Linked DNA regions of Ovis aries. The main gene of each other region encodes a partner of the protein of the gene in region 7 in a complex. Links are inferred from orthologs where the notes say so. Each region holds a gene or a part of one and is shown on either strand. Other genes may lie near its edges.

Evidence for each region.
Region 1: SNRNP200 (region 7) and SNIP1 share a complex: the UniProt entries of both Homo sapiens proteins name them as parts of the minor spliceosome. The link is inferred for Ovis aries from reciprocal best matches to the Homo sapiens genes SNRNP200 and SNIP1.
Region 2: the proteins of SNRNP200 (region 7) and TSSC4 are in contact, whole or in part, in a cryo-EM structure (PDB 7PX3), measured with the Homo sapiens proteins. The link is inferred for Ovis aries from reciprocal best matches to the Homo sapiens genes SNRNP200 and TSSC4. Residues at the interface, in NP_054733.2 of Homo sapiens: Arg1438, Arg1475, His1502, Lys1748, Gln1749, Val1752, Asp1753, Thr1756, Trp1757, Tyr1761, Arg1762, His1778, Leu1781, Ser1782, Asp1783, Leu1785, Ser1786, Glu1787, Val1789, Glu1790, Gln1791, Glu1807, Met1808, Asn1814, Met1817, Ile1818, Tyr1821, Tyr1822, Asp1928, Ser1931; in NP_001284587.1 of Homo sapiens: Val198, Ser199, Ser200, Phe201, Asn202, Gln203, Asp204, Pro205, Gly211, Arg212, Val213, Ile214, Phe215, Thr216, Lys217, Pro218, Arg220, Gly253, Pro254, Val255, Glu256, Leu257, Ala258, His259, Leu260, Ala261, Gly262, Gly303, Phe304, His305.
Region 3: SNRNP200 (region 7) and LSM5 share a complex: the UniProt entries of both Homo sapiens proteins name them as parts of the U4/U6-U5 tri-snRNP complex. The link is inferred for Ovis aries from reciprocal best matches to the Homo sapiens genes SNRNP200 and LSM5.
Region 4: SNRNP200 (region 7) and PRPF6 share a complex: the UniProt entries of both Homo sapiens proteins name them as parts of the U4/U6-U5 tri-snRNP complex. The link is inferred for Ovis aries from reciprocal best matches to the Homo sapiens genes SNRNP200 and PRPF6.
Region 5: SNRNP200 (region 7) and ARMC7 share a complex: the UniProt entries of both Homo sapiens proteins name them as parts of the minor spliceosome. The link is inferred for Ovis aries from reciprocal best matches to the Homo sapiens genes SNRNP200 and ARMC7.
Region 6: SNRNP200 (region 7) and PPIH share a complex: the UniProt entries of both Homo sapiens proteins name them as parts of the U4/U6-U5 tri-snRNP complex. The link is inferred for Ovis aries from reciprocal best matches to the Homo sapiens genes SNRNP200 and PPIH.

Annotation. Positions count from the first base shown.
Region 1 is NC_056054.1:12,368,528-12,372,027, forward strand, and holds part of SNIP1 (smad nuclear-interacting protein 1), read right to left. Parts: intron 3,177-3,500; coding exon 3,074-3,176; intron 1-3,073. UniProt on the Homo sapiens protein: Required for pre-mRNA splicing as component of the spliceosome. As a component of the minor spliceosome, involved in the splicing of U12-type introns in pre-mRNAs. Down-regulates NF-kappa-B signaling by competing with RELA for CREBBP/EP300 binding.
Region 2 is NC_056074.1:45,569,345-45,573,428, forward strand, and holds the start of TSSC4 (U5 small nuclear ribonucleoprotein TSSC4), read right to left. Parts: upstream 2,801-4,084; 5' UTR 2,036-2,800; intron 497-2,035; 5' UTR 381-496; intron 236-380; 5' UTR 214-235; coding exon 1-213. UniProt on the Homo sapiens protein: Protein associated with the U5 snRNP, during its maturation and its post-splicing recycling and which is required for spliceosomal tri-snRNP complex assembly in the nucleus.
Region 3 is NC_056057.1:65,578,978-65,583,208, reverse strand, and holds the start of LSM5 (U6 snRNA-associated Sm-like protein LSm5), read right to left. Parts: upstream 2,801-4,231; 5' UTR 2,781-2,800; coding exon 2,735-2,780; intron 1,674-2,734; coding exon 1,578-1,673; intron 1,297-1,577; coding exon 1,269-1,296; intron 666-1,268; coding exon 593-665; intron 1-592. UniProt on the Homo sapiens protein: Plays a role in pre-mRNA splicing as component of the U4/U6-U5 tri-snRNP complex that is involved in spliceosome assembly, and as component of the precatalytic spliceosome (spliceosome B complex).
Region 4 is NC_056066.1:53,535,199-53,537,656, forward strand, and holds the end of PRPF6 (pre-mRNA-processing factor 6), read right to left. Parts: intron 1,248-2,458; coding exon 1,121-1,247; intron 729-1,120; coding exon 576-728; 3' UTR 501-575; downstream 1-500. UniProt on the Homo sapiens protein: Involved in pre-mRNA splicing as component of the U4/U6-U5 tri-snRNP complex, one of the building blocks of the spliceosome.
Region 5 is NC_056064.1:55,673,427-55,677,648, forward strand, and holds the start of ARMC7 (armadillo repeat-containing protein 7), read right to left. Parts: upstream 2,801-4,222; 5' UTR 2,544-2,800; coding exon 2,453-2,543; intron 2,356-2,452; coding exon 2,212-2,355; coding exon of another isoform or gene 2,199-2,211; intron 1-2,198. UniProt on the Homo sapiens protein: As a component of the minor spliceosome, involved in the splicing of U12-type introns in pre-mRNAs.
Region 6 is NC_056054.1:17,161,434-17,165,463, reverse strand, and holds the start of PPIH (peptidyl-prolyl cis-trans isomerase H), read right to left. Parts: upstream 2,801-4,030; 5' UTR 2,777-2,800; coding exon 2,711-2,776; exon of another isoform or gene 2,376-2,710; coding exon 2,311-2,375; intron 2,020-2,310; coding exon 1,996-2,019; exon of another isoform or gene 1,902-1,995; coding exon of another isoform or gene 1,879-1,901; intron 1,724-1,878; coding exon 1,679-1,723; intron 1,428-1,678; coding exon 1,385-1,427; intron 1-1,384. UniProt on the Homo sapiens protein: PPIase that catalyzes the cis-trans isomerization of proline imidic peptide bonds in oligopeptides and may therefore assist protein folding. Participates in pre-mRNA splicing.
Region 7 is NC_056056.1:104,085,737-104,089,236, reverse strand, and holds part of SNRNP200 (U5 small nuclear ribonucleoprotein 200 kDa helicase), read right to left. Parts: intron 2,992-3,500; coding exon 2,883-2,991; intron 2,153-2,882; coding exon 2,044-2,152; intron 1,559-2,043; coding exon 1,369-1,558; intron 1,272-1,368; coding exon 1,107-1,271; intron 935-1,106; coding exon 813-934; intron 546-812; coding exon 402-545; intron 310-401; coding exon 133-309; intron 1-132. UniProt on the Homo sapiens protein: Catalyzes the ATP-dependent unwinding of U4/U6 RNA duplices, an essential step in the assembly of a catalytically active spliceosome. Plays a role in pre-mRNA splicing as a core component of precatalytic, catalytic and postcatalytic spliceosomal complexes.

The DNA.
Region 1 (3,500 bases), on a different chromosome or scaffold from region 7:
CTGCATACCACAACAAGAGTGTCGCCTCTGCTCACTGCATCTAGAGAAAGTCCACTGCTGCTGCTGCTGAGCCGCTTCAGTTGTGTCCGACTCTGCGCGACCCCACAGACGGCAGCCCGCCAGGCTCCCGCGTCCCTGGGATTCTCCAGTCCACAACAGCAACAAAGACCCAGCACTGTCAAAAATTAAATAAAACTTGGAGGAAAGAGCACAAGACGATGACTGAACGCCTGTCCCTCAGGAATGAGGACAGGGCAGGAGAGCCTGATCTGACTGCTCTTGCTCCACTCAGTGCGAGAGTCCCAGCCATGCAGCAAGGGGCAATAAAATGAACATGCACTGGAAAGGAAGACAGACAGAACTGCCCCTGTGCAGACGTGACTATCTATGCAGAAAATCCCAAGTTTTAGGTTGGGATTTACTTAGGCCAAATAAATGAGTTCAGTAAGGCCACAGGGTGTAAGATAAACATACAAAAATGGATCATATTTCTATGTACTAGCCATGAACAAGTAAATACTGAAATTCAAAATATCACTTGCTGCTGCTGCTAAGTCACTTCAGTCGTGTCTGACTCTGTGCAACCCCATAGATGGCAGCCCACCAGGCTCCCTCGTCCCTGGGATTCTCCAGGCAAGAACACTGGAGTGGGTTGCCATTGCCTTCTCCAATGCATGAAAGTGAAAGTGAAGTTGCTCAGTTGTGTCCGACTCTTAGCGACCCCATGGACTAGAGCCATCATTTAATGATAACTTAAAAAAATTACTTAAGTGCAAATCTAGCAAAACACATACAGGACTTGTACACTGAAACACTGATAAAAGAAATCAAAGATCTAAATAAACAGAGATACACCTATATTCAAAGACTGGAAGACGCTACATAATTTTTTAAAATTTTTCAAAAAGTACAAGTTTAACACAATTTCAATCAAAATACTAGCAAGTTTTTTCAATAGATACAAACAAGATTGTTCTAAAATGTATGTGGAAAGATAAAGGCACGAGAATTCCTAAAACAATTATTTATTTATTTGGCCATGTCCTGTGGCATGTGCCTCCTTAGTTCCGCCCAGCCAGGGACCAAACCTATGCCTCAGAGTCTTAACCACTGGCCTACCAGGGAAGTCCCAGCAATTTTTAAAACGAAGAAAGTGAAAGAACCAGTCTGTTCAATTTTAAGACTTATTATATAGCTCCAGTAATCAAGACTGTGGTACTGGCAGAATGACAGATCAATGGCACAGAACAGAGGACCCAGAAATAAAGGCACACACACACACTTTTGATTTCTGACAAAGCAAAAGCAATTAAAGGGAGGAAAAATTGTCTTTCCACACCTAGTGCTGGAGTAAATGGATATCCACGGGGCGAAAAAGGAAATTTGATTTAAGGCTCCTTCCTTAGATTAAAACAAACTCAAAACAGATCATGGACTTAAATGAATATTAAAGAAAAACGTATCTTCAGGTTCTAGGGTCAGGGAAGTTCTTAGACATAACACCAAAAGCATAATCTGTAAAAGGAAAAACAGACAAGCTGGACTCCAAACAAATCAAAAACTTTTGCTCTGAGGAAAACTCTTTTAAGAAAATGAACAGACAAGATACAGACGGAAAGAAAATACTGGAAAACCTCTCACTCCAAAAAGGCCTGGTATCTAAGAATATATTACCAAAAAAAAAAAAACCTCTTAAAAATCAGTAGTAAAAAAACCCAAAACAATCCAACTAGAAAATAGGCACAAGATCTGAAGAGACATTTTACCTAAGAGGAAACACAGATGGCAAATAAACACATGAAAAGATGCCCAACGTCATTAGCCACCAGGGACATGCAAATTAAAATCACAGTATCACTATCACTTATCAGAATGGTCAAAATGGTCACAATACCAAATGCTGGATCACTCACATTATAAAAAGGGATAGCCACTGTAAGGACTGAATTGCGCCCCTTCCAAATTTACATACTGAAGTCTCAACCCCCACACCTCAGACTGTAACCAGATTTTTTGCAGGTAAGGTCTTTGAAGAACTGATTGAGTTAAAATGAGTAAGCCCCTAATCCAATATGGCTGATGTGGTTAAAGAAGATGTGAGTCAGAGATGGGCGAGCACAGAGGGAAAGACTATGAGGACCCAACAAAGAAGGCAAGCCAAGGAGAAAGGCCTCAGGAGAAACCAAACCGCTGAAACTTTGATCTCTGACTTCTAGCCTCTTAGATTCCGTTGTTTAAGGCAACCAGTCTGTGGTATTTTGTTATGGAAGACCTGGCAAACTAACACAGCACTCTGGAAAACAATTTATTAATGTTTTAGGAAAAAAAAAAAAAAAGCACCTACCATACCATCTACAAACTGCACTCCTGGGCATCTATCCCAGAGAAACGAAAACCTATGTTCACACAAAAACCTGTACAGAAATGTATACACAGCAGTCTTATGTCTAATAGCCAAAAACTGCTAACAACCCAGATACACTTTAATGGACAAATGGTTAAATCCATACCATTGACTACAGTTCAGCAATAAAAACGAAGGAACTACAGACAAAAGCAACAATATAAATGAATTCCAAAAGAACTTAGCTGAGTGGAAAAAGCCAATCCAGAAAGGCTACATACTGTGTGATTCTATTTACATAGCATTCTTGAGGAAACAAAATAACAGAAATGGAGAAGTGACTAGAAGCTGCCAGGAGTTGGAGGGGTAAGGGTAGGCGGGAACTGGGTGTGATATAAAAGAACTACTTGAGGAATCCTGTGGTGATGGAAATGTTCTGTATCTTGACAGAACTGATGTCAACATTTTGGTTGGGATATTGTTCTATAATTCTGTAAGATGGTACTATTGGGACAAACTGTGGCTTTTGTATTACCTTTTACAACTGCATGTGAATCAACAATTATCTCAAAATAAAAAGTTTAACAAAGAAAGAAGAAAAAAGAAAAAAAAAAGCCCAGTTTTTGGAGAAGCCCACTGCAGGTACAGGAAAACACACACACACCACTTTAGCTATGATGGAGAGGCTCTAGGTTTGGAGCCAGTACGAAAACATCTCAGTCCACTTACCTGCTTTATTTTGATTGCTGAGTGGTGAGGACTTCGGCTTCTCTTACTCCGGGGAGACTTGCTTCTTCTCCCTGAGGATTTGTTTTTCTTTTTGGCTGGGGACCTGTTCAGAAAATGGTACACACATTTATCTCAACTTTCATTCCCTCATACAAAACAGCTCCAAGCATCAGGCATATCCAACTAACACAAACACCATGTCTTTGCTGATCACACTAAAAGAATCAGGAGCTTCACTTTTCTGGTCCTATGTCTTCCACATACGTAACTGCCTACTAGAACTTCTCACTTAGATAGCAACTCTAGATTCCCAACCACCCAAGACACTTTCCTCTGTTTTCTGCCAGCTGGATAATTAGTGCCACCATCCACCCTGTTCCTCAGGCAAAAAACCTAGAAGTCACCCTGATTCTTTTTCTCCCCTCGA
Region 2 (4,084 bases), on a different chromosome or scaffold from region 7:
CTCTGTGAGGAGGCCTCTGGGGGGCGAGGGGGGCTCATCGGGGCCCGAATCCCCGGACACCTCCCCAGGCAGCCCCCCCAGGGACAGGGCAGCCGCCCCAGCGCCATCAGGCAAACTAAGGTCAGAGTCCGAGTCGCTGAGGGAGCCAGTGTCCGGAGGCAGGGTGTCGGCCTCCGAGTCAGGGAAGTGTCGGCTGTCCCCTGCCTCTGCCATGTGTCCCCAGACCACGCCACACCTGCACCAAAACAGCCCCGGGAGTCCCCGGACACAAGCTCACACCCACCACCCCAGGCAGGATCAGCAGGAAGAGCAGTGTCCCAGGAGGAAGGGCCAGCCCCCATCCCCACCCCCGCCACACCGACCATAAGCCCTCCTCTTACCTCCCCGTCTGATGGGCGCCTGCTGGATGCTGGAGGGCAGGTGGGTTGAATGCTGACGAAGGTTCTTGGTGGCAAAGGCCCCCTGGTACGGCTCTGCTCAGCGGCTCGGTGACTGGCTAAGGGCAGGGAGGGACAGCCAGCCATCAGACCAGATGGCGGACAAATGGAAGTGGTGCCAACATCCCCGGAGTGGGCCTGGGTTTACAAAGCCCCCAAAACAGCCAGGCCCAGGAGCTGGTCCTTTTGACTTGTCACCTCCCTCAGTCCTCGCCAGGCAGGGTTGACTAGAGCCACTAGGGGACCCGCACGGGGTGGTCTGGTAGAGCAGCCGGCCGGGGTGTCAACCCAGGGTCACCAGCAATCCTCGCGCTCCCTCTGTCGGCCACGTGTGGTAGTGGCAGGCAGTACGCTCAGCTCAGTTGCATCCGACTCTTTGTGGCCTTTTGGATTGTAGCCTGCCAGGCTCCTCTGTCCGGAGAAGGCAAGGGCACCACACTCCAGTACTCTTGCCTGGAGAATCCCATGGACGGAGGAGCCTGGTGGGCTGCCGTCTATGGGGTCGCACAGAGTCGGACACGACTGAAGCGACTTAGCAGCAGCAGCAGCAGCAGCAGCAGGCTCCTCCGTCCATGGGATTTTCCAGGCACGAGTACTGGAGTGGGGTGCCCTTGCCTTCTCCGGTAAATAAGGAATGAATGAGTGACATGCAGAGCATGTAATTTTGTGCTAAAGCAGGCATCACCCTCCTCACACTGGCTAGCAGCTGCAGGGGTGAAACATTAAAACAAAATGGAAACTGAGGGTATTCCGGCCATTAACTGAGTAATTTTTCACTTCGGAGAAAGACTGTCACTGTTTCGTTTTGACACAGCGCCAGTGTTTCCACACACTAGCATATTCAATTACTTTCTAATGGATTACAAGGAGTCATGAAGGGTGATCACTCTTTTCAAAAAGTGAAATTACAGAATCGACACTGTATCAGTCACTAGTCTAATCGTGGTAACTGACACGTCCTGTGGTGGTTCCACGTGATAGCTTATTACGTTTTCAGGTCAGTGAGTGCTCAGAGGGACGGAAAACAGCTGACAGTCATGGCGGGAACTGCAGACTGGCTCACTGAACAGCTCGAACTGACTCAGTCAGACTTCACAAACATTTGCTGTGTGGATGAGGAGTACGTTTATTCACTGTGCTAACAACTGCAATAAAGAATTTTAGAGCTTGCTGCGGGATGCTGCCTGGGAGCAGGGCAGGCAGGAAGTACTCCACAAAGCCGGAGGCACCTGCCGGCTCTGTGGGGAGGAGGTGTGCTCCTGAGTGCAGAGATGCCCTGGCAGCTCCAGAAGGGACTGCAGCCAGGTCCTTGACATCTGAGGGTCAGGCTCTCAGGAAGCTGGCTCAGCCTTGCTTGGCAGAGGCCGGCCCCACAGCTCCTGAGGCAACCTCCAGCGACATCTGTGATCCTCCACACACCCTTCACTTTCCCAGTGGAGCACAGAAGTCCTGCCAACACCTGGTTAGCATTCCAGTGTCACCAAGCACCCTGAAACTTGTTTCCAGGCTCAGAGGACAGGCCTCAGCCTCCACCAACTTCCTCTTCCCACCAGGCCTCCCTTGCTTGCCAAGGGTGACTCTGTTGCTCCTGCACCCACCAAAGACCAGGCCAGTTGGACCAGGAGTGGCTCCGAGTGCCCTGCTCCAGGTCAAACGCAGGCGAGATCTCCATTCCTCTGGGCCTTGCATGACTCCCCAAATGCAGGAACAACTCCAGGAAAGGGGACACGAAGTAAACGCCAACGGTGTCTGTTTTAGGGCTGGCAGGACAGGAGTGGGGAGATAATTGGCCCGTCATTCCGTACACTGGAGGCAAAGCTGGAGCTTCGACCAGCCTCCGGCTTCCTAAATTTGCACTCCCGTCCCCTGGACGCCCGTGATCAGTGGGACACTCCGAGGGGAGCCAGGAATCGCGCCCCAAGATCGAGCATGCCAGGTCTGCGTCTCTTGAGTTCTCTGAGAACTTCCTGAGCTCACTGGAGGGCAGAGCCGAGTCCAGGCTGACGGAGGCGCGGTTTTCTCAGGGCCGGGGTCGGGGCTGGCCAGGTCCCAGGGAGCGCTGGCTTCCTTGAGGGTTGTCTCTCTCCCCTAGGAGGCAGAGCCTTGATTTTCTCCACTCCACGCGCCCAGAATCTCGGCGCGTGCCCAGCAGGCGCTCGTTGTCAGCTGCCTGAGTCCTGCGGCCAAGTCGGGCGGGGGCGGGCCAAGGGTGCGGGCCTCACGAGGGTCTCCCTGGTTGGGGCAGCAGACTACGGACAGTGGCCCGCTGAAGCCGGACGGGTCAGCAGCGCGGCCCTCCCACCAAAAACCTACCGGCTCACTTCGGCCTGGCTGCCTCCATCTTGAGCCGCGCTCAGCCTCGTGGGAAACCGAGTCCCCCGCTGGCCGATGGCCGCTTCTCCCGCGCCTGAAGAACTACATCTCCCACAAGGCCCCTGGCTCCCACGCCTGAGGCCTATCGGGAGTGATGACTTTGCGCATGCGCTGCCTTCCCTACAGGAAACCGTGGCGCTCCTTCGCGAAGAGACCGGAATTGACTCAGGAAGGGAGTCTGGGTGAGGAGGCAGGGCTGCGACTCCCAGAATGCTCCAGGGCTAACGGCCAGAGCCTCGTTCCTGGTACTGTAGCCCACTTTGCCGGAAGCTGCGAGAACCGGAAGTGCGTCAACGCATCCCGCGCGGTTCCCAGGCACTTCCGGTGCTGTTCCGGAGCAGCCGTCCCTGCTCTTTCGGGTCCCTGGAACCGGGCCGCGGGGCGTGTCCCGCGGTGTACATTTGTCCCGCCCACTGGACGACTCGGGCAGGCCGCCGCGTGGCAAGCCTCCTGAGGGAGGCGCCCCGGCCTCGCCTGCCGATCGTGACTGGTCATTTCTGCTCCGAAAGTGAAAGTCTCCCAGTCGTGTCCGACTTTGCGACCCTGTGGACTATTCAGTTCAGTCGCTCAGTCGTGTCCGACTCTTTGCGACCCCATGAATCGCAGCACGCCAGGCCTCCCTGTCCATCACCATCTCCCGGAGTGCACTCAGACTCACGTCCATCGAGTCACTGATGCCATCCAGCCATCTCATCCTCGGTCGTCCCCTTCTCCTCCTGCCCCCAATCTCTCCCAGCATCAGAGTCTTTTCCAATGAGTCAACTCTTCGCATGAGGTGGCCAGAGTACTGGAGTTGCAGCTTTAGCATCATTCCTTCCAAAGAAATCCCAGGGCTGATCTCCTTGCAGTCCAAGGGACTCCCAAGAGTCTTCTCCAACACCACAGTTCAAAAGCATCAATTCTTCAGCACTCAGCCTTCCTCACAGTCCAACTCTCACATCCATACATGACCACAGGAAAAACCATAGCCTTGACTAGACGGACCTTAGTCGGCAAGGTAATGTCTCTGCTTTTGAATATGCTATCTAGGTTGGTCATAACTTTTCTTCCAAGGAGTAAGCGTCTTTTAATTTCATGGCTGCAGTCACCATCTGCAGTGATTTTGGAGCCCCAAAAAATAAAGTCTGACACTGTGGACTATACAGTCCATGGAATTCTCCAGACCAGAATACTGGGATGGGTAGCCCTTCCCATCTCCAGGGTATCTTCCCAACCCAGGGATTGAACCCAGGTCTCCTGCATTGCAGGCGGAGTCTTCACCAGCTGAGCCACCG
Region 3 (4,231 bases), on a different chromosome or scaffold from region 7:
AGGAGGAAAAAGTTTAAAACTTAGTACCACATGATCTAAAAACCCCTACTGAGAGCTCACTGACTGGTCATTGATCAGCCTTTGCCTCTCCCTCATATTCCCATTTTCCCCATGTCACCTCTGTTTACAATTCCAACAGTATCAATTAATACTTAGTGATTTAATGTTTCAACAGTTAATTCTTGGTAAAATAAATGATTAAAAAGCACAAGCAGGGACTTCACTGGTGGTGCAATGATTAAGACTCCATGCTCCCAATGCAGCGGGCCCAGGTTTGATCCTTGGTCAAGGAACTGGATCCCACATGTTGCAACTAAGTAAAGATCTTCTGTGATGCAACTAAGACCCAATGCAGCCAAATAAAAAAATAAATAAATATTTTAAAAATACATAAGATAAAAGGTATAAACAAACTAATCTTAGGCCTAATGTCATCTTCAACAGTTTGGCCACAGAATCCTGATCAGCAGAGCATTCCCTTCCCACCCTAAGCACCACTGGGCCAAGAACATTGAGTCAATCAAGTCAGTTCTGTAATCCCTGCCCCACAAAGATGGCTTAACATCTAAATAAAAGACCTTCACTGTCTTACCATTGTTATATTATTTCCATTTAGCAAAATTTGATCTAATTTAGTAATTCTTCTTCCTTCTGGTGTGATTTCACTAAACAAAAAGATTTTCAAAAAGTCAGGATAAAGAGTGATAATCAAAGCCAACATTCTGATCCACCAAAAGGTTAGTTACTATATATAAATGAACTGTACACTTTCCAGAGACAAGGTTATCCCCATGGTGATGTCAATTCTCCAAAGGCAAGAGAGTGGACTGACTGGCCTAAGACCCACATCCACTAGTGCAGATCTTCATCTAAAAAACTGAAACTTACCAAGGAGATCAAATATGAAATAAAATGTTTATATATATATATATACACATAAGTTTTAGAGTAACTAATTTAAAACATTAAATGTTTTTATTATAAGTTCCTTTATTTGATCTGAGCGCTAAGATCCCTGGCTGCTTTTAGTATCTTTTACCTTAAACCTTTGTCTCCACTAACTTCCTAGCAATTAGTGACAATTAAATTATGGTAATAATCCTCCAATCCAATTTTACTAACATCAGTAGGTAAACTTTCTCTCTTTAGAGTAATTCAAACAGGCAGTGTGCTCTCCTACATCCTTTTACTGACTCAACAGCACTAAAACTGCCTTAAATCAAACAGAGATTCCCCCTACCCATTCTTTAATTTTTAACACTACTCACAATTCAGTGACATCTTCCAATACCATATCTGAAATTTGGTGTTAAGAAAATAAACATACCAAATTAAATTTACTCTGGCTTATTTCTTTGTTCAGTTTTAATTATAACATTGAATACAATGGCTCAAATGCAAGCTGCGTGCAATTGGTAGGAACTTCATCTTTCAGTACCACAATCCCTTAAAACACTATCACAATTTCCAAAAAAATAAATTAAACTTTATTATAATAATCGGTAAGTACTGATAGTCTATAGTTCTTTTTTAAAAATCTGAAGAAAAATCCATACAACCACCTTTTAAAAGGATACTGACAAAGTCATCAAATCCCAGAAGTGTGCCAACAATCTCTTTATCACTCTTCATCACAATGTGAATTCTTGATCCTATACACTTGTCCACAAGCTCTGCAGATAAGGGCGGGAGAGAGAAGATTAGTTTGCCCATTCATAACATTAACAAATATTTGAATGCCTACTGACACTTGTTACATGCATATGGTGAAAAGATAAGCCAGGAAAAGTATTCACTCCAAAACTTTAGACCTTATGTTACATATCTCTGTTCAGTCATTCTATTAAAAGGACAGTTTTCCCTCCCTGTTATTCATTTAACCCTCCTTTGTAGCAATTTATCATGGTTGTAGTTTAATACTATTTTAGTTATCTGATTAACATATGAACGCCCCTCTTGACTCTAAGCTGAAAGAGAGCTGAGAGGTGGTTTTTACTCATCAGTGTATCCCCAGTGGACAATGCCTGAAATGTACTGGTCATTCAGAAGAATTTGTTCCAGGATGGAAAAAAACCTTTACAATAACTGCCACATCCACTAACCCGATAACCCTTCAAATATAAAATATTAAGGGGAAAAAAAAGGCAGAACTGTCTTCACCAGAGATTCCTCCTTGTCATTAAGTCTATGTCTGCCCTGTATCCTGTTTCCTACACTGGTTTGTATGCTATCTGAAGGTAATGGCCGTGATTTAAATTTGTTGAACAGTGCCCAATCACAGTGTCTAGTGCACAGATGGCGCGGTAACTGCTTGCTGAATAAATGAGTAACAAGAGCTAGTTTTCAGAGGCCTCTTTAAAGGCTCATTCCAGACCCAAGTGCCTCACTCAGAAACCAGCCAGACAGGATATAACCCGGGTAGTTTAAAAGCCCGGTTGCGGAATGGGCCTCTTACTATTATAAAGGCGAGCACCCAACAAAGAAGGTCAACGACACATTCACCAAGACTGAACCTTTCCGGTGAAGGTTTGGGGAGTCAAAAACCCCTGCCTCAAGAAGACTCCCCCACGCCAGAGAGACTTGTGCGGCCTCAGGCCGCCGAGACTTGGAGCCTAAAGGAGAGCTGCAGAGAAAGCTACGTTTTTCTAACACTCGGTCAGGGACTGCCTTGCTCTTCGGCCCCAACCCTAACTTTCAACTCCCCGCCCCGGCTCCCCAACAGGACAAAGATTACCTAGAGGAAGCAGCTGCGACGGGTTAGTGGTAGCGTTAGCCGCCATGGCTACGCCGGAAGTGGCCTGCCTCTATCGACGTCGGAACGGCGAGTTTGAAAGAGCGCGCTTCCGCTTTTTTCCGGCCCAGGCAGGCTCGACCAATCTGAGGCCGAGAGTGCGATTGAGGAGATCCAGCCACTTCTTTATCCTGCAGGGAGATTCTAGAAAGTGTTTCTGTTCACTGAGCGTTCTAGGTTCTCCACAGATAACTCGCCTCTCCAAACTTCCAAGAGACTTTAGAGATCTCCGGTCTTATAAATAAGTTATTTCTCTAATCCGGAAGCCTGCGAAACGGAAGCCTTTGTGCTGTCTTATTTCCCCTTATCGAGGTGTGTCTCATATCAACCCAGGATCTTTCTTCGACCAGAATCAATAAATTTGATTTTCCCGCCACCGATTCATTGTGTTGCAATTTTCGTTAAAAAAAAAAATCTACCGCTTCTTTTAAAAGTTTGATGATTTGAAAACCCACAACTAGCATTTTTAATAAAGTTTGTTGGGCGAGGGGGAAATTTTAAGTATGTTTTCTATTTTCTACTATCGTTTTCTTTTTCTATTTTTCTATTCTACTTTTTCAATTTTTTCCATTTCTATTGTTTTCTATCTTCTACTATCAGGAGTTGGTGATGGACAGGGAAGCCTGGTGTGCTGCAGTCCATGGGGTCGCAAAGAGTCGGACAAAACAGTGACAGAACTGAACTGTCCTTTTTAATCTTGTAATATCTAGGAGTCTGCTATACATTTTGTATACACTATTTCTTCCACAGTCCAACAGGCAACCACCAGATGTCATTCTATGTTAATAACATCACATTTAGGAAGCCTTGCTGCTTTTACGCATCTGTTTTGAAAAGAAAAAGCGAACAAATTTTTTGCGTTGGTCTATTTTATGTTTATATCTGAGGAGCTTAAAGCTAAAGAGTTTAAGCAGGAAAGGCCAGGAAGGACATCATTCATTCACACAATGGCTGCAAAGCACCAATCATTCATTCATCGAACAAATACTTTAGTTGAACATTGGCATTTTGCTCAGTATAACCAGCGTAAAGAACAGAACTACAACGTCTTCTGCCCTTATAGGAGCTAAAGGATAAATGGGGGAGAAAGACAACTAGCAAGCATTATGTACAAAGCACGTGGAATTTAATATGTAAAGCAAAAAGTGCTCTTTTAACTTCAGGGATCTTAGTCAATCGTCACATCATTCTTTGGCAAGACAAAGTAATGCCAAAAAAATTTGTTTTCCTATATCTATTCTTGTTTCATTTTCACCATACCATAATGTGAATAGGAACCAAATTCAAGGTATTGTTGCTACCTGATAGAGTTTAAAATTCAAGAAAATAAGCTTTAAGTCAATATCTTGCTTTCCATTACAGAAACCAAATTAACATTCAGCACTATTGATGAAGAATAAAGGAGGTCTTATACTCTGAAAACGGAGATACAATTGTTTA
Region 4 (2,458 bases), on a different chromosome or scaffold from region 7:
TCAAGTCTCCAGGTAAGCAGTGCATTTTCATCCAGAGAATGGGTCCAAGAGCTTTAGGGTAAAAATCACTAACTACAAATTAGCAAAAATGAACTCCCCCTCTCACATGCCGAGGGCCTCTTCGCCATCCTGTGGTAGAACCTCAGGGGCCAGGCCCAAGAGCACTCAGGAAAGTCACTCTCCTGGGATGCACACAGCCTGCCGCTGGGGGACAGGAGGCATAGACAGGGCAGGAGAAGACCTGTACATGCAGGCACCGGAGTCACCTGGCCAGCTGGGCCTTCACTGTTTCCACACAGAGCTTTTACCCAGAACACAAGTTCCTGCCTCCATCTCCAAAAAGCCTTGGAGAGTTGCCCAGCTCTGCTGGTGCTTCCTCTGCAGGGCATAGGCTCTTAGGAGGTCTGGAGAGCTAGCCCTATCCAGTGTGAGGGCCAGACTGGGACGGTCAAAGCACATGAGGGTAGGATTTGGAGAAAACCCGCTGCCACAAACCCCACGACTACTAGAAAACCTTTAATCAACAACCAGGACAGCCACCACCCCCACCCTACCCCCACCCCTGCGCAGGACACTCAGAAGGTGTTCTTGATGCGCGCTGCAACCAGCACCAGGATCTCCCCGATCTTCCGTTGCCAGTTGGCGATGTCCTTGGACGTGGCACACCACAGCTCCCCGTGCCGGGGCTCGGCGTTCTCGCAGCGCCTCCTCACCTCCTCCCGCTGCTCCTGGGTGGGGATCGCAGGTGCTTGAACCAACCCACTCCCACTGCACTCTACCAGCCTTCATACCAGTGTCCGCACCTGCCCCCTAAAGAGGACCCACCTTCCACATCGGGGTGGGGGTGGCAGGGGAGACCCCGAGGGCGCTGGGCTCTGGGAAGTCTCTGTCCAGCAGGACAGGATGGCTATGACACAAAGACAACCCTCAGGCCTCCAGCTCCAGCCCTGTTTCTGCCACAGCCCATCACAACCAACTTGTTAAAAGATGCCCCCGAGCATCTAAATTTCAGGCTGAGACTCCAAGGCTACAGGCAGAAAGCAGCCATGGAAGCTGTGTCACCCGCCAGCACTTCGTTTGAGACTGGTGGGGTGGGAGTCATGGGCAGCAGGCACCTCACCTCTGTGCCGTGCTGCAGCTCAAACTTGTAGAAGAAGGCCCAGGCATCCCCCAGATCCGAATCAATCTTCACAGTGCGGTGGAACCACTCCCGGGCCTTGGTGATCTTCCGCTCGCTCCAGAATAGCCTATTCAGAAGCAGCAGGAGGGGACCAGGTGGCCACAGATCAGCGCTGGTGGTGCTCCGGGGCTGCGGGAGCCACACTGGGGGCAACCCTGGCCTGCTCAGGTCATAGCTGGCTCCACGGTGGGCTAGACCTCAAGCCTGGGGACCCGCTGCAGTGGCACAGAGTCAGGCACAGGGACTGCTGGTCTTGACCTCTCCCTGGAGAGCTCAGGCTCCATTGGGGTGCCAACGGATGAGGCCTGGCCACCCAGAAACCCCTCCAGGTCATTACCTGAAACGCTCCTTCCTTCAAGTGTCCACCTAAGGCATTTCTCAGAAAACCACCCACAGAGCAAGAAATTATTATCTTCCTCTGAGTAAAACATAGGGAGATGAAAGTAACTGATCGGACAAAAAATTCAATCAAGGCTGTGATTAGGGAAAGAGAAGTTTCTGCCTGCTCCTCTTCTTCACCTTCTGGAACATTCTGTCCTACCAGGCATCTCCAGAAGGAGCTGAAGCCCACACTGAAAACCTGGTCTAAAAGCAGACACAGACCCCTGAATCCAGGCCCAGGAGAAGATCCACAGCATCAGAAACCGAGTCAGGGTCCTGGGAGCCTTCCCCACGTGCCAGTGAGGGCATGATGGGCACGCTGACAGCCAGCTCCACCAGCTCTGCAGTCAAGTTCCAGAGCAGATGTGCACTAGGCACCTCCAGGCAGCTGCCTTGGCTGGTCTCAGCTACAAAAGGGAGTAATTTCATGCCTGATAGCTTGATTGTTTTTTAAGCCTTGTGGTATTCTTAATTGCTCAGTGTCAGATAAAGTGTGATTTAAAGAGCACAAACCCAGATAGCAGCACACAGAGCACCAGCCTGGGAACAGCAAGGAGGGACCTGTTTACTTTACAAAGCCTTTTACGAGGTTTTATGGCGGCCCTATCGGAGTGGAGCAGGAGGTGGAAGCACAGGCGAGAGGGAAGGAGCCCCGGGGACCCAGGTGGGGCCTCAGAAGTTCGTGGGAAGCCCCACACGCAGCACCCTCAGCCCCACAGCAGCCGGAGAGGAGGTATTGGCACTGAGGAAGCAGCTGGGCCAGCAAGAGCACACAGGAACCTCTGGCCCCACATACCCCCTGCCCTAGGCAGAGCCCTGACAAGCCCTCCACCCCAAGCCCAGTCACTTCCCAGCCTGACCACACCCAACCGCAACCCGGCACTCAGGTTCCGCTCC
Region 5 (4,222 bases), on a different chromosome or scaffold from region 7:
TAACACTCCACACTGCCACTGCAGGGGGCATAGGTTCGATCCTTGGTCAGGGAACTAAGATCCCACGTGGGAAGCACCCCCCTCTACCTCCCAAAATAGCTTCAGTTGGAGGAGATATGTCATGGCCTTTTACCATTTACCTCTGTGGTCATCCTCCCCAATACCCATATCCCAGTCTAATAACGAGAAAAATGTCAGGCAAATCCCAACTGAAGGAAAACCTACAAAATACCTGACCAGTACTCCTTAAAACTGCCAAGGTCATTCACAAAAAGAAAAAGTCTAAAACCAGCAAAGCCCAAAGGAGCCTAAATCTAACATAAGATCTTGGATGGAATCCTGAGACAGTAAAAGGTTATGAGGGAAAAAGTGACGAAATCAGAACAAAGCATGGACTTCAGTTAATAACAGGGGTACCCAGGTGGCTCAGTGGTAAAGAATCTGTCTGCCAGTGTAGGAGACGCAGGTTCTATCCCTGGGTCAGGAAGATCCCCTGGAGAAGGAAATGGCAACCCACTCCAATATTCTCGTCTGGGAAATCCCATGGACAGAGGAGTCTGGCAGGCTACAGCCCATGCGGTTGCAAAGAGTTAGACAGGACTATTGCTATTGGCTTATTAATTGTAACAAGTGTACCATACTAATGTAAGATGGTAATAATAAGGAAACTCGGTGTGTATACATAGAAACTCTGTATTACCTTCGCAATTTTTCTACTGTTATAAAATACAAAGTTTCTTTCAAAAGAGAGCGAGAGATTGAGATCTAACGTACATAACAACCAGATTAAGAGCATGGATCCTGGTTTATACAGAACAACAAAAAATGTCCGCTTGGGAACTATTAGAGAAGTCTGCCTAACTGGGTATTTGGTGACAATGGAATTATTAAGTTCATTCCCTATGAAGATAAGACTCCTTTCACTATGCAGAGAAATGTTATTTTTTAAAGACACATGCTGCAGAAAGAATGTTGGTTTTGTTTGCTTTTTGCAGGATCTCAGTTCCCTAACCAGAGAAGGCAATGGCAACCCACTCTAGTACTCTTACCTGAAAAATCCCATGGACGGAGGAGCCTGGTAGGCTGCAGTCCATGGGGTTGCTAAGAGTCAGACACGACTGAGCGACTTCACTTTCCCTTTTCACTTTCATGCACTGGAGAAGGAACTGGCAACCCACTCCAGTGTTCTTGCCTGGAGAATCCCAGAGACGGCGGAGCCTGGTGGGCTGCCGTCTATGGGGTTGCACAGAGTCAGACACGACTGAAATAACTTAGCAACAGCAGCAGTTCCCTAACCAGGGATGGAACCCATCGCCCCTACAGTGGAAAAGCAAAGTCCTAGTTGTTGGACCACTAGGGAAGTTCCAGGAATGTTGGTTTGCCCTCAGAATAAACTCCAAACTCCCACCCAATGCCTAGATCTGAATCCCTGTAAACTGGTGCGAGGTGCTCTCTAATTTAGCAGCACTAAATCCTTCTCTCTCATTTAGTACCACTCTGGGCTTCACTCACCACAATGGTGCCACATCAGCCTTCCTTCTGGCTCCTCCTGCTCTGGGGTCTTGGCCCGGCCTGTGCCTTCCCGCCAGGGCCAAACCAGAAGTAGTCCCTTCCTTCCCTTGCTCTTCTTCATCAGCCTGTTTTCTTCAGTGCCTCAGCTTCTTTTGTGTGTAAACCTTGTGTCTCTCTCTACTAGAATGTAAATTCCCTGAGGGCAAAGATCTTTTCCCAACTTGTTGGCCATCTCACCAGCATTTAGAACAATACTTTGCTCACAGGGTACCAGCCCAACAAACACCTGACGTGTGAATAAATCAATAGGTCTGAGACCAGAACAACTACAGGTGCCATAAGCCCTTCCGAGTGAACGCTATTTCTCTTGATGGTGAAACATATAAGATAAAGAGGTTTTAAAAGAGCGCTCAACTCCCCCGCCCCCACCCCGCCCCTCCAAGGGGCTTCAATCCATTCCCATTTATGATCTTACCTCTAACCGACAGGGAAGGTAGACAGGTAGAAATGGTCCTGGGCGTGGGTTCCAGGCCAGACTCAAGCCACCCGTGAACCTGTACGCTGTGTTGGCCGCGGAGGCATTACAGACACTACGAAAGTCTGCCTTCGCTGCTGAGAGACGGCCGAAGAGCCCTTTCCCAACAACTCATTTCTAACTCGTTACCTCATCAGGCACCTAGGAGAGCGCCCCATCCTTACCAATAGCAAACTCCACCAGGGTCTCATTCTCCTCCGACAGCGAATCGAGGAATAAATCCAAGACCTGCAGCTGCCGCAGATACTGGTAGTTACCGGGGTCATAGGCGAAGTTGGCGAGGTTGGCCAACACTTGCTCCTTGGCGTCTGCGATGGAGAAGCGGGCAGTGGCGCCAGGGTCGGGGCGGTGGTCGCGGCTGGACCCCGGCCCAGCCCCCCCTGCCCCCCACCCCGAGACACTCACCTTGGCTCTGCGTCTCCTGGAATTCCGTGACCAGCGCCTGCAGATACCCCAGCCGACCGACGTGGGGGTCTACCTTCGGCTTCTGGGCCATGGGCGGGCGGCGAGGGGCCCCGGGGAGCGGGCGGGAGAGTGTGGAAGGTTGAGGCTGGGGCGCGGGGCTAGGACCCCACCTGGCTTCGCGGGGCCGGGGAGGGGAAACGAATTCTCCAGCAGCTTGCAGCTGAGACTGGGCTGTGGGAGACGCGGTGGGGACTCAGAACCTCGTAGGAGTTGGGACTGAACACCTAAGTCGGGGACCAGGAGACAAGGACCCACTCTCGCGCCGCGTGAGGAAGGCCCGTCCCAGCTGGGCGGGACGTTCGGCTTGGTTCCGGACTTCCGGGGGAAGCGGCACTTGGCCACGCCCAAAGGGCCAAAGGGGCGGGGCGACGAGGCGAGGGGCGATGGGCGGGGCCGTCGCTGAGCGTGGGCCCGCTTCCAGCGTTTTGTCTCTCGCAGGCGGCGATCCGCCTCTTGATGGAAGTGGTGACTGAAGCCTGCGGTTGTGTTGAGGCGAGCCCCAAGGGCCCGTAGGAGCTCAGAGGTGCCGGGGGTCGCCTGTGTGGGGGACTGTCGGGGTAGAAGCACCTTCAGATGCACCCGCGCTTGGCGATGGGCCGCAGTCCCCGCCCCTCCACCATCCAGGGACGCCGTGGAAACGCGAGCGCCTGCTCCTTGTGTCCCCTCTGTGGCTCTTCTGACACTACCTTCTGGTCGGCTCTTCCCAAAAGCCCAGTGAGGACTTCCCTGGTGGTTCGGTGCTTAAGACTCTGCTCCCAGTGGAGGGGACACGCTTGGATCCCTGGTGGGGGAACTGTGACCCTGTATGCCCGAGGCGAGGCCAAGATGAAAACAAGTCAGCGCGCCTGGTATCCTCTGCTCCCCAGTCCCGAGCTGAGCCTGCCAGGTGGCGGGGCGCACCCGGGGCAGCACCATCGGACCCCAGAAATACTACTTTGGTGGCTTTCTGGGTTGTGGGGAGCCCAGAATGCTGAAGCCCTCCTATCTAGTCCTTTCTCAGTTTCTCAGGAAGGGGTCAGGTGACAGAGCACCAGGGAGGAAGGTGGCCCTCTTGGACTCCAGCGTGTTTCAAAATGTGGGGGTGGAAGCGGCTTAGGCTGTGAATTTCTGGAGGGCAAGGGCCTTGCGCAAGGACAGTGACTGCCACACTCCAGCTTGCCACAGCCCCACTGGGAGCAGCCCCCACCTGGTGGGCTCAGGTGGCTGTGATCAGCCCCAGCCCTATGCACACACCTGGGGCTTGGGGACCCTGGCTGCTTCTTGCAGGGTAGTGTCCCCAGGCCCCTCACCAGAACCTTCACATTTTAAGGAGAGCTGATTCGACCTGGGGAAGTCTATCTCAGCCCAATGTGGCCAGGGGGCTTCTCTGCTCCTGTCTGGATGGAGCAGTAAAGATCTAGGGACAGGACAGAAGTGGGCTCTACCCCACACTGGTCAGGAACTGCTCTGGACCCTCTCTAGAGGAATCCCAGGATCAGCCAAGTGTGGATTCTGGAATCTGATGGGCCATCACATCCTCCATTACTTGCCCCCTCCTAAGGCTTTGGAAAAGCCCCTGATGCTGAGAAAGATTGAACGCAGGAGAAGGGGATGACAGAGGATGAGATGGTTGGATGGCATTACCTACTCAATGGACATGAGTTAGGGCAAGCTCCAGAGAGCTGGGAGATGGCCAGGGAAACCTGGTGTGCTGCAGTCCATGGAGTCGCA
Region 6 (4,030 bases), on a different chromosome or scaffold from region 7:
CTTTAGAAGGTCTCAAATTCTGCTTCTACGTCTTGCTCATTCTATTTTTTCTGCCCTAAGGGTGGCTCTGAGTAATTTCTTCTCCCTGACAGCCTTCTGGCTGACTAACTGCTAACTCTAGAGCAATTAGCAAGTGATCACATGTGCCTAGCAATGACCCATAAGAAGTTAGTCCTATCCCTGCTAAGACAATATAGCAGTATAGAAGCCTTTGGAAGAAAGAACACAGAGAATAGCATCTTAGCCCTTCTTACTTGCCAATAAAAAAGGATATGGTCACCCCAAGCCCTACTCTAATCAGTCGTGGCCAGGGGTTGCAAACTTAAATGCCTATAGGAGTATGTGACGTAAAGAAGGGAAGCCAGTGGTGGGAACTGTGGTGAAATAATAAGGACATACCTGTCTAAAGGGAGCTGTTACTTGACTCAACCAAATGTTGCTACATGAGAAACACAGGCCAAGTGCACCCCTACTTTTCAGTTGTAACAGAGAAAACAAAACTCCAGAACTTTCCGGAAAATTTCCCAGTTTTACAACATCATACAGATGATACAAAGCATATCTGTTTCGGATTCAGCCCCAAATCTGCCACTTTGTAAACTTATCTGGGTAGGAAAGATAGAAATCTTAAAAAAACTCCTAACAGTCAAACTAAATATACATGTAAAGGATAAAGAATGTCTCCCAGATCCAAGAAAACAGCAACATGACTAACCAAATGATATTAATAAGAAAGATCATGCACAGAAATGGGTGGGTATGGACAAACGTAGGTTTAAGAAAGCATAAATGTGGTTTATTCAGAACCCTGCAAGGTTGGGAAGCTTGAAATGGGGATGCATACAGTGGCAAGAAAAATCATGCTTAGCAATGAAGGATTAATTCAATGGGTTCTCCTAGTGAATAGGGAAAATATCCTTCCAGAACTCTCTGATTTCTTGCCCACTAATGAACTTGATTAAAAAAATAACAACTCACCTTCCGAGGCACTGGGATACCAGAAGTGAATGGGAAATCAGGGCATAAGCATTTAACTCACTGGAAAGGGACTTGCCCCCATTTAGAGAAAGTTAACTGTAACTGATTTCTAGCTAAATTCCATGTGCCCAGTTAATTTGGGTCTGTCATGGATCACCTATAGGTATGCTGGGAAAGTCAGTTCCCAGCCCTAAAAGACTGAGATTTGGAGTGAGTGACTCAATCAAAGTGCTAATATGTTATCTAGTGATGCAGCGAGTAGCAGCCATCACAGGATATTCCCATTCCCACCTCCTCCCCCAGCAAACTTGGCTACTGTTCTCAGTTCCCCGAGGAGCAGCTTCAATAACAACAACCAACAAAAACAAAACTTATAGGCCCTTAATAGGAAAGGAACAGTACTTACATTAACAAAATCTCCACCCTGAATCATGAAATCTTTTATGACCCTGAAACAGAGAACAAAGGATGCTGGGAGAAGATTGTGTGGTTTGGAATAACATTAATTTCAAAATATAATGTTTATCACTTCAGTCCTCAAATCAATGGTTGAGTTCACAAAAGCATCCCTTCTCAAGAACTAAGAATTATGCTATGGTTTTGTTTTCCTCTGAAGAGACTAATCCCCCAAGGAAGTAATTCTAAACCATACTAATAGTAATTTTAAAAGTCCCCCAGGATGGCTTGCCAAAGGCCTTACCTGTGGAAGGTGCTCCCCTTGTATCCTATCGGAACCCCATCTTTTCTATAAGCAAAAAGAAAGAGACTTGAAATGGTAAACAGGTAAACATAGGCCTTTCACGTTTACCATACAGTCGAGCCAGAGACACCCTTCTAAAGATGGTCGGGAGAAGAGAGACGAAGAAGGCAAATGAACTGAGGACAGACCCATAGTAATACCTTCTATTACTGTCACCAGTCATACAAGGCCTGCCGGTGATTCCCCAATACCCTCAACTGCAGCCTCAGGACAGCCCTCAGGAGCAAGCAGAGAAGTCAACCACGTCAGAGACTGACCTGAATTCTCCTGTGCAGAACTGCCTGAAAAGGAAAAGAGTGAACGATTCAGTCGCCATGGCATCACAACTCTGAGCGTCCCTAACCTCAGCGGGAAGGGGAACGTCGGCGCTAGCTAGCCCACCAACTGGCTGGTCAGACGTCCAGGCATACAGATTAACATAAACTGAAAAGGGGACGGTCAAGACTATTCAGAGAGATACCCAGAGAAGTCAGATCTCAAGGACGGTGAATGAACGGATAGAGGTAGGCAGAAGATTCCACAGACAGGCCCAGCTTCTCGTTTGGTTTATCCAGCAAAGAACATCATCTTACCTAAAATTCTCCGCCGTCTTAGGCACAACGTCTGCAAAGAGCTCAATCTTCATACGACCAACCTCCTGCAACCGGCGAGAGACGTTCAGAAAGCCCAGTCCAAGCCCGTGAAGGCCTCACCGAACAGGGAACCCTCGGGCCCCCATGCCGCTTGGTCTCTCCCACCTCCGCCTCCGTAGCCTACTCTTCCGTTCCACCCGGTCCCTCCACCAGCCGGGCGCTAGGATGCGCAAGACTCCTCCTCTTCCTACTCCCTCACCCCCGCCCCGCAGGTCGGTAGGTTCTGGTTCAATTTCACTTTTTGGCTTCCCGAGTTTGCTACACCTGAGGAGGTGATCTGCCTGCCAGACCGCGTGCACGTTCCCTTTGGCATCGGGCTGGCTGGCTGCCAAGACCTCACCTGGCCGCCAATGCTGACATCAAAGAATACCACGGGATTGACAGGGCTTGAATTTGCCACCGCCATGCCTCTGACCCGGAAGCAGAAGTCGGGAGCGCGGGGTTCCGGCGATCCTATGATCTTGCTCCGCCGGGAGGTGTTTATTTCCGGCGCAGGCGCAGGAAGAGCCGGGGGGGGGGGCGGTGCGGTGGGAGGCGGTCGGCCCCGCCCCCGGAAGCTCTCTGCCTTCGATGCCAAGCTGCGCGCTGCGTGGGTGGCCGGGGCTTCCTTCCGTTTTGACGAGTCGCAAGTTGTTACCTCACCTGAGTCTCCTTGAGCGCTGAGGCCGGAGGACATCCTCGGCTTTTTTTTCGCTCGAGGCCCACGGGCCTCTCATTCACTTGGATACAGTAAGTGCAGTACGGATGATTCTCGCTCAGGCTACGGGGCTTGGACTAGGCAGTCTTCAGGGTCTGATCAGCCTTTGCAGCCAAGACCGTCTGAACCATCATATGTGCGGCCTCTTACCCCTTTTCACTAGTCTGGAGGCCCGGAAGCAAAAACCGTGTTTATCCTCAGCGCTTTGAACAGCCTGGCATATAAGGCTTGTTCAGTATATTCAGCACTTTCATGAAGTCAGGCACTAGACTTTAATTCCAGTTCTCCCACAAGCTTCCGCTTTCATCATCTCCAAGTCACTTACTGCAGAGCAGCTAGAGCTTTTAAATGAATCTGCTTATAAATCACTCCCGGATTCCCTTATTTAGAATAAAATCCAGTTGCTACATAAAAGACCTACATTACATTATCTGGCCACCTACCTGGGACTCTAGCCTGTTCCTCTAGGTCACGGAGACTCGGATTCTATTTAGGGCCTGTTAACTGACTTTAATATTCTTCTAAATCTTCATGAGGGTGCGGAGTGGTCTTGTAGGTCAAGTCTCATCTCAGGTCATTAGTCAGGAACATTGCACCCAATCTAAAGTAGCCCTCTGTCACTCTTTTGGATAGATTACTGATTTTCTTCATGCCATTCACCATCCAAAATTATATGGTTTCCCCACCTCACCAGCTGCTTCACACTTGTTTAACTCCATGAAAATGAAGCTGGGTCCTTCGTAAAAACCGGGTGCCTTTGCAAAGCTTAGGAATAACCTATCTATAACGTTCCCTTTCTTGTCCACCTGTTTCCCTCAAGGTTGTTGAGTACCAAAGAAAAAGGCATTGAGACAGCCGGCCCTTGGCAGGACACTGCTGTGTATAAAACCCTTGCTTATGTACCTGATTCCTTGTTTGTAGAAAGACTTGACCCTCCTGGATCTTGTTCCAAAGAGCAGATCC
Region 7 (3,500 bases):
CCCTGGCGCCTTCTTGGGTAACACCTTCAGAGAAGCCAAAACGAGACACCTCCCCTCCCACAACCAACCCCAGTGCAGGATGCCTGGCCTCCAGACTTGGCCACCCAACACTGCGATGCAGGCCCAGCTCACCTTGTCTGTGCAACGTTTGATGTGCTCGGAGGTGAAGTGCGGCAGCTGTTTCAGGTAGGAGTCCTTGGACCACATGGCTTGGGTGGCCATCTGGGCCAGCTCCATGGCCGCCAGGGCCGGGCTGAGCCACCCGTTGCTGGAGAGGACGTCCACACAGGCCTGGATGAGCCGGATGGCCTGCAGAGGGCCCAGAGAGCAAGAGCAGGCGTGGGCACTGCTGCCGCATGGGCCGCCCAGGCCTCCATGCCCGCGGCGCCCTGCCTCCATACCTTGCTGAGGATCTCCTCTGTATCCGACTGCAGCTCAGCACTCAGCTGCATGCGGGACAGGTGAGCCTGCAGAAGCAGGTTGGTCTTGACGTGCGGGTCGTTGAACTTAGGGTTATTCAGTTTGTGGGGGACCTTCTGGGCCAGCTGGAAAGCAGAAGAAAGAGCGGTTGGTGAAGAGACCCGCACTCAGGGCCAAAGCACCACCCGCCCCAGGCCCACAACCATTCCACGCTAAGGAGGAGACGACGGCTGTGGGTGGTGGGGGTTGAGATGTGTGTGGAGTGTGTGAGGGAGCTCGGGGCAGGGGAGTAGGAGTTTTCCTGACCCAAGAGCGGGATCCTGTGCTCTGGGTATGGGGGCCGAGTTTCACGCGGCTCGGAAGACGCACTCCAGAAGCCAAGACGCGCTCACCTGCCGCAGGAGGTTGTCCTCGTGGTGCCGGATGGGGATGTTCTCATACTCGGCCGCGTTGGAGATGATCTCGATGAGCCCTCGCACCTTGGTCTTGGCGTTCAGGGACATACTGAAGAGCTCTGAGAGAGGAAAGAAAGGACATTTGGAGGAGTCAAAGCAGGCAGAGGAGGAGCAGAGTTAACTGCTGGGCTAGCCCGGCTCCACCCTGCAATGCGTCCCTCTGACAAGCACACGAGGCCCTGAAAGCCTCGTCATGTCGTCCCCGTGGCTGCAGGCCCTGCCGGCCCTCACCGATGGTGGTGTAATTGATGTAATAGTAGGCGGCGATCATGCCCAGGTTCAGGGGCGCCACATCCATCTCGTCCTCGACGCTGATGCACTTGGACTGCTCCAGGTCACTCAGGGTCTGCTCCACGAGCTCCGACAAGTGGTCAGACAGGTGACGATGGGAGATGCCTGTGAAGGTGACAGGTAAGCAGGGGTGTCCCGAGGAGACGGTGAATGAGGGCTGTGCCAACCACCAGAGGATGATGCGTGCAGTGCCGCCACCGACCCTGCAGGTTGTAGTAATTGGGGTTCTGCGTCATGCGGCGGTACAGGAAGGTCCAGGTGAGGTAGTCCACAGCATCCTGCTTGTTCTCAATGGTCTTGGTGACGATCTCGGCATTGAAGTGGTCATGCATACAGTGGTCCAGGTGAGACTCCACCGGCAAAGGCTCATACAAGAACTTCTTGAAGAAATCCTACGGGAAAAAATGTCAATGACGGTACAGCACACAGTCAATGACAGTACGGTCAGAGAAAGGCCAAGGGCAAATACGGCCGCCGTGCAACAGGCACGGCTCGTACGAAACGGAAGAGACCAGCTGCACAGACAAGGTGAGCTGGGTCTGGACCTGGAGAGCTGGGTGTGTATGCCGGTTCCCCCGGCATCACTGGTTATTTCTACCACGGAGGAAGGTACACTGAGCCCCAAGGGCTGAGCAAGGCATGAGGAAGACAGACCCAGCCAGAGGGTTAAGATCTCAATACACAGAGTCAACAGCAGCAACAAAAATCAAAGGCTACAAAATTCTACACAGGGAAAGGCTTGTTACAAAGGCAATGTGGAAAGAAAAGAAGACAGAGAGAACATGAGGAAGTAAGTAAAGACGCCTATGGAGAGAGAGATTAAAGAATCTGTTCCGAGGCCCAGGCTCGGAAGCCCGCGCCAGAGGCCGGGGCTGACCTTCTTGGAGCCCTGGCACATGATGACGCAGCGGCCCTCGTCATCCTGCAGAGGGCGGTTGGCGTGGCCCACCATCTGCAGAACGTCGTAGATGGGGTAATCTACGTACCTGGAGACAGAGGGAGAAGAGGACTCAGGACACTGCCTCCCTGAAAGTCGAAGAATAAAATGCAGATACAGGGAGACATGGAGAATCCCAGCAAACCTCTGTGAGTGTGCTCAGGCCCTAGTGTCACAGGTTATCTACAGACCAGTTTAGTTTTCAAGTGTTAAGAGTCAGGACTTTGTTGCTCAGGGTCTGTGAACCAAAGGTGTTAATCCATCTAATGTGTGTGTGTGTCTGTTCCCTCACGTCCACCTCCTTGCAACCCCATGGACTACAGCCCGCCAGGCCCCTCTGTCCATGACATTTTCCAGGCAAGAACACTGGAGAGGGCCAACATGTCCTCTTCCAGGGGATCTTCCCGACCCGGGATGGAACCTGCGTCTCCTGCATTGGCAGGTGGGTTCTCCACTGCGCCACCTGGGAAGCCAACCCATCTAACGGCGATAGCCAGATGACTCCATGTTAAAGCATTTCGTATGTCAGGCAGGCTCCCAGACCTCACAGCCATATGGTTCATGAGTGATCAAGCCCACCCCACTCAAATCCAAACCTAGGAGCAGCTTCAAGCATCAGAAATAAGTCTGCACAAATAAAACCCTGGCTGGGGTGGAATCTCAGCTAGCTATTTATTTCCCTAACACCTTTTCTTCACAACAGTGGCCTTCCGGATCTGCAGAGGTTACACTCATCTTAGGAGAGAGGGGCCCGTGAACGCACAGCACACTGGACTCACGCGTGGATCTTGCCGTTGTAGTACTGGGTGTCCATGATGATCACCAGGTGGGCGGCCACGTTCATGCCCCAGCAGAGACTCCGAGAAGCGACCACCACCTGGATGGCCCCTGAGCGGCAGAGGGGAGGAGCAGACTGAGCACAGGGCCCCCCGAGTGGGGCAGGACCCGCTGCCTCTGGGGCAAGCAGTGGCGCACCCTGCTCTATACTTCAGAACTCAGTGCAACGCTGGGCAGGGATAAGGTTTCAGGACTAAGAGGCTAACGCGGTACTACAGGAGGGTCTGCCTGTCACTGCTGCTCTGCTGGGGGGCTACCCTGCAGGAGACGAGGTCACCCTGGAACAGACCCCCAAGCCCAGAGAAAGTCAGGCTCACACTCCTGCCTGACAGGCAGGCTGTGCCGACTGGAACATGCTTCCACCAACTCAGCCACAGGCTGGCCAGTCCATGGCAGCAGATCGAGCTCTGAGGGTGCCCCACACGAGGCAGATTCAGGCCTGAGTGACAGCAAGTGATTCTGGCAGGAGCACTGCCACTGCGGCTCCCTAAGCACCGTCAAAATACTACTCTGCACGAAATGCCTAACGTCAACGAGACTCACCAGCACACAGCCACCCC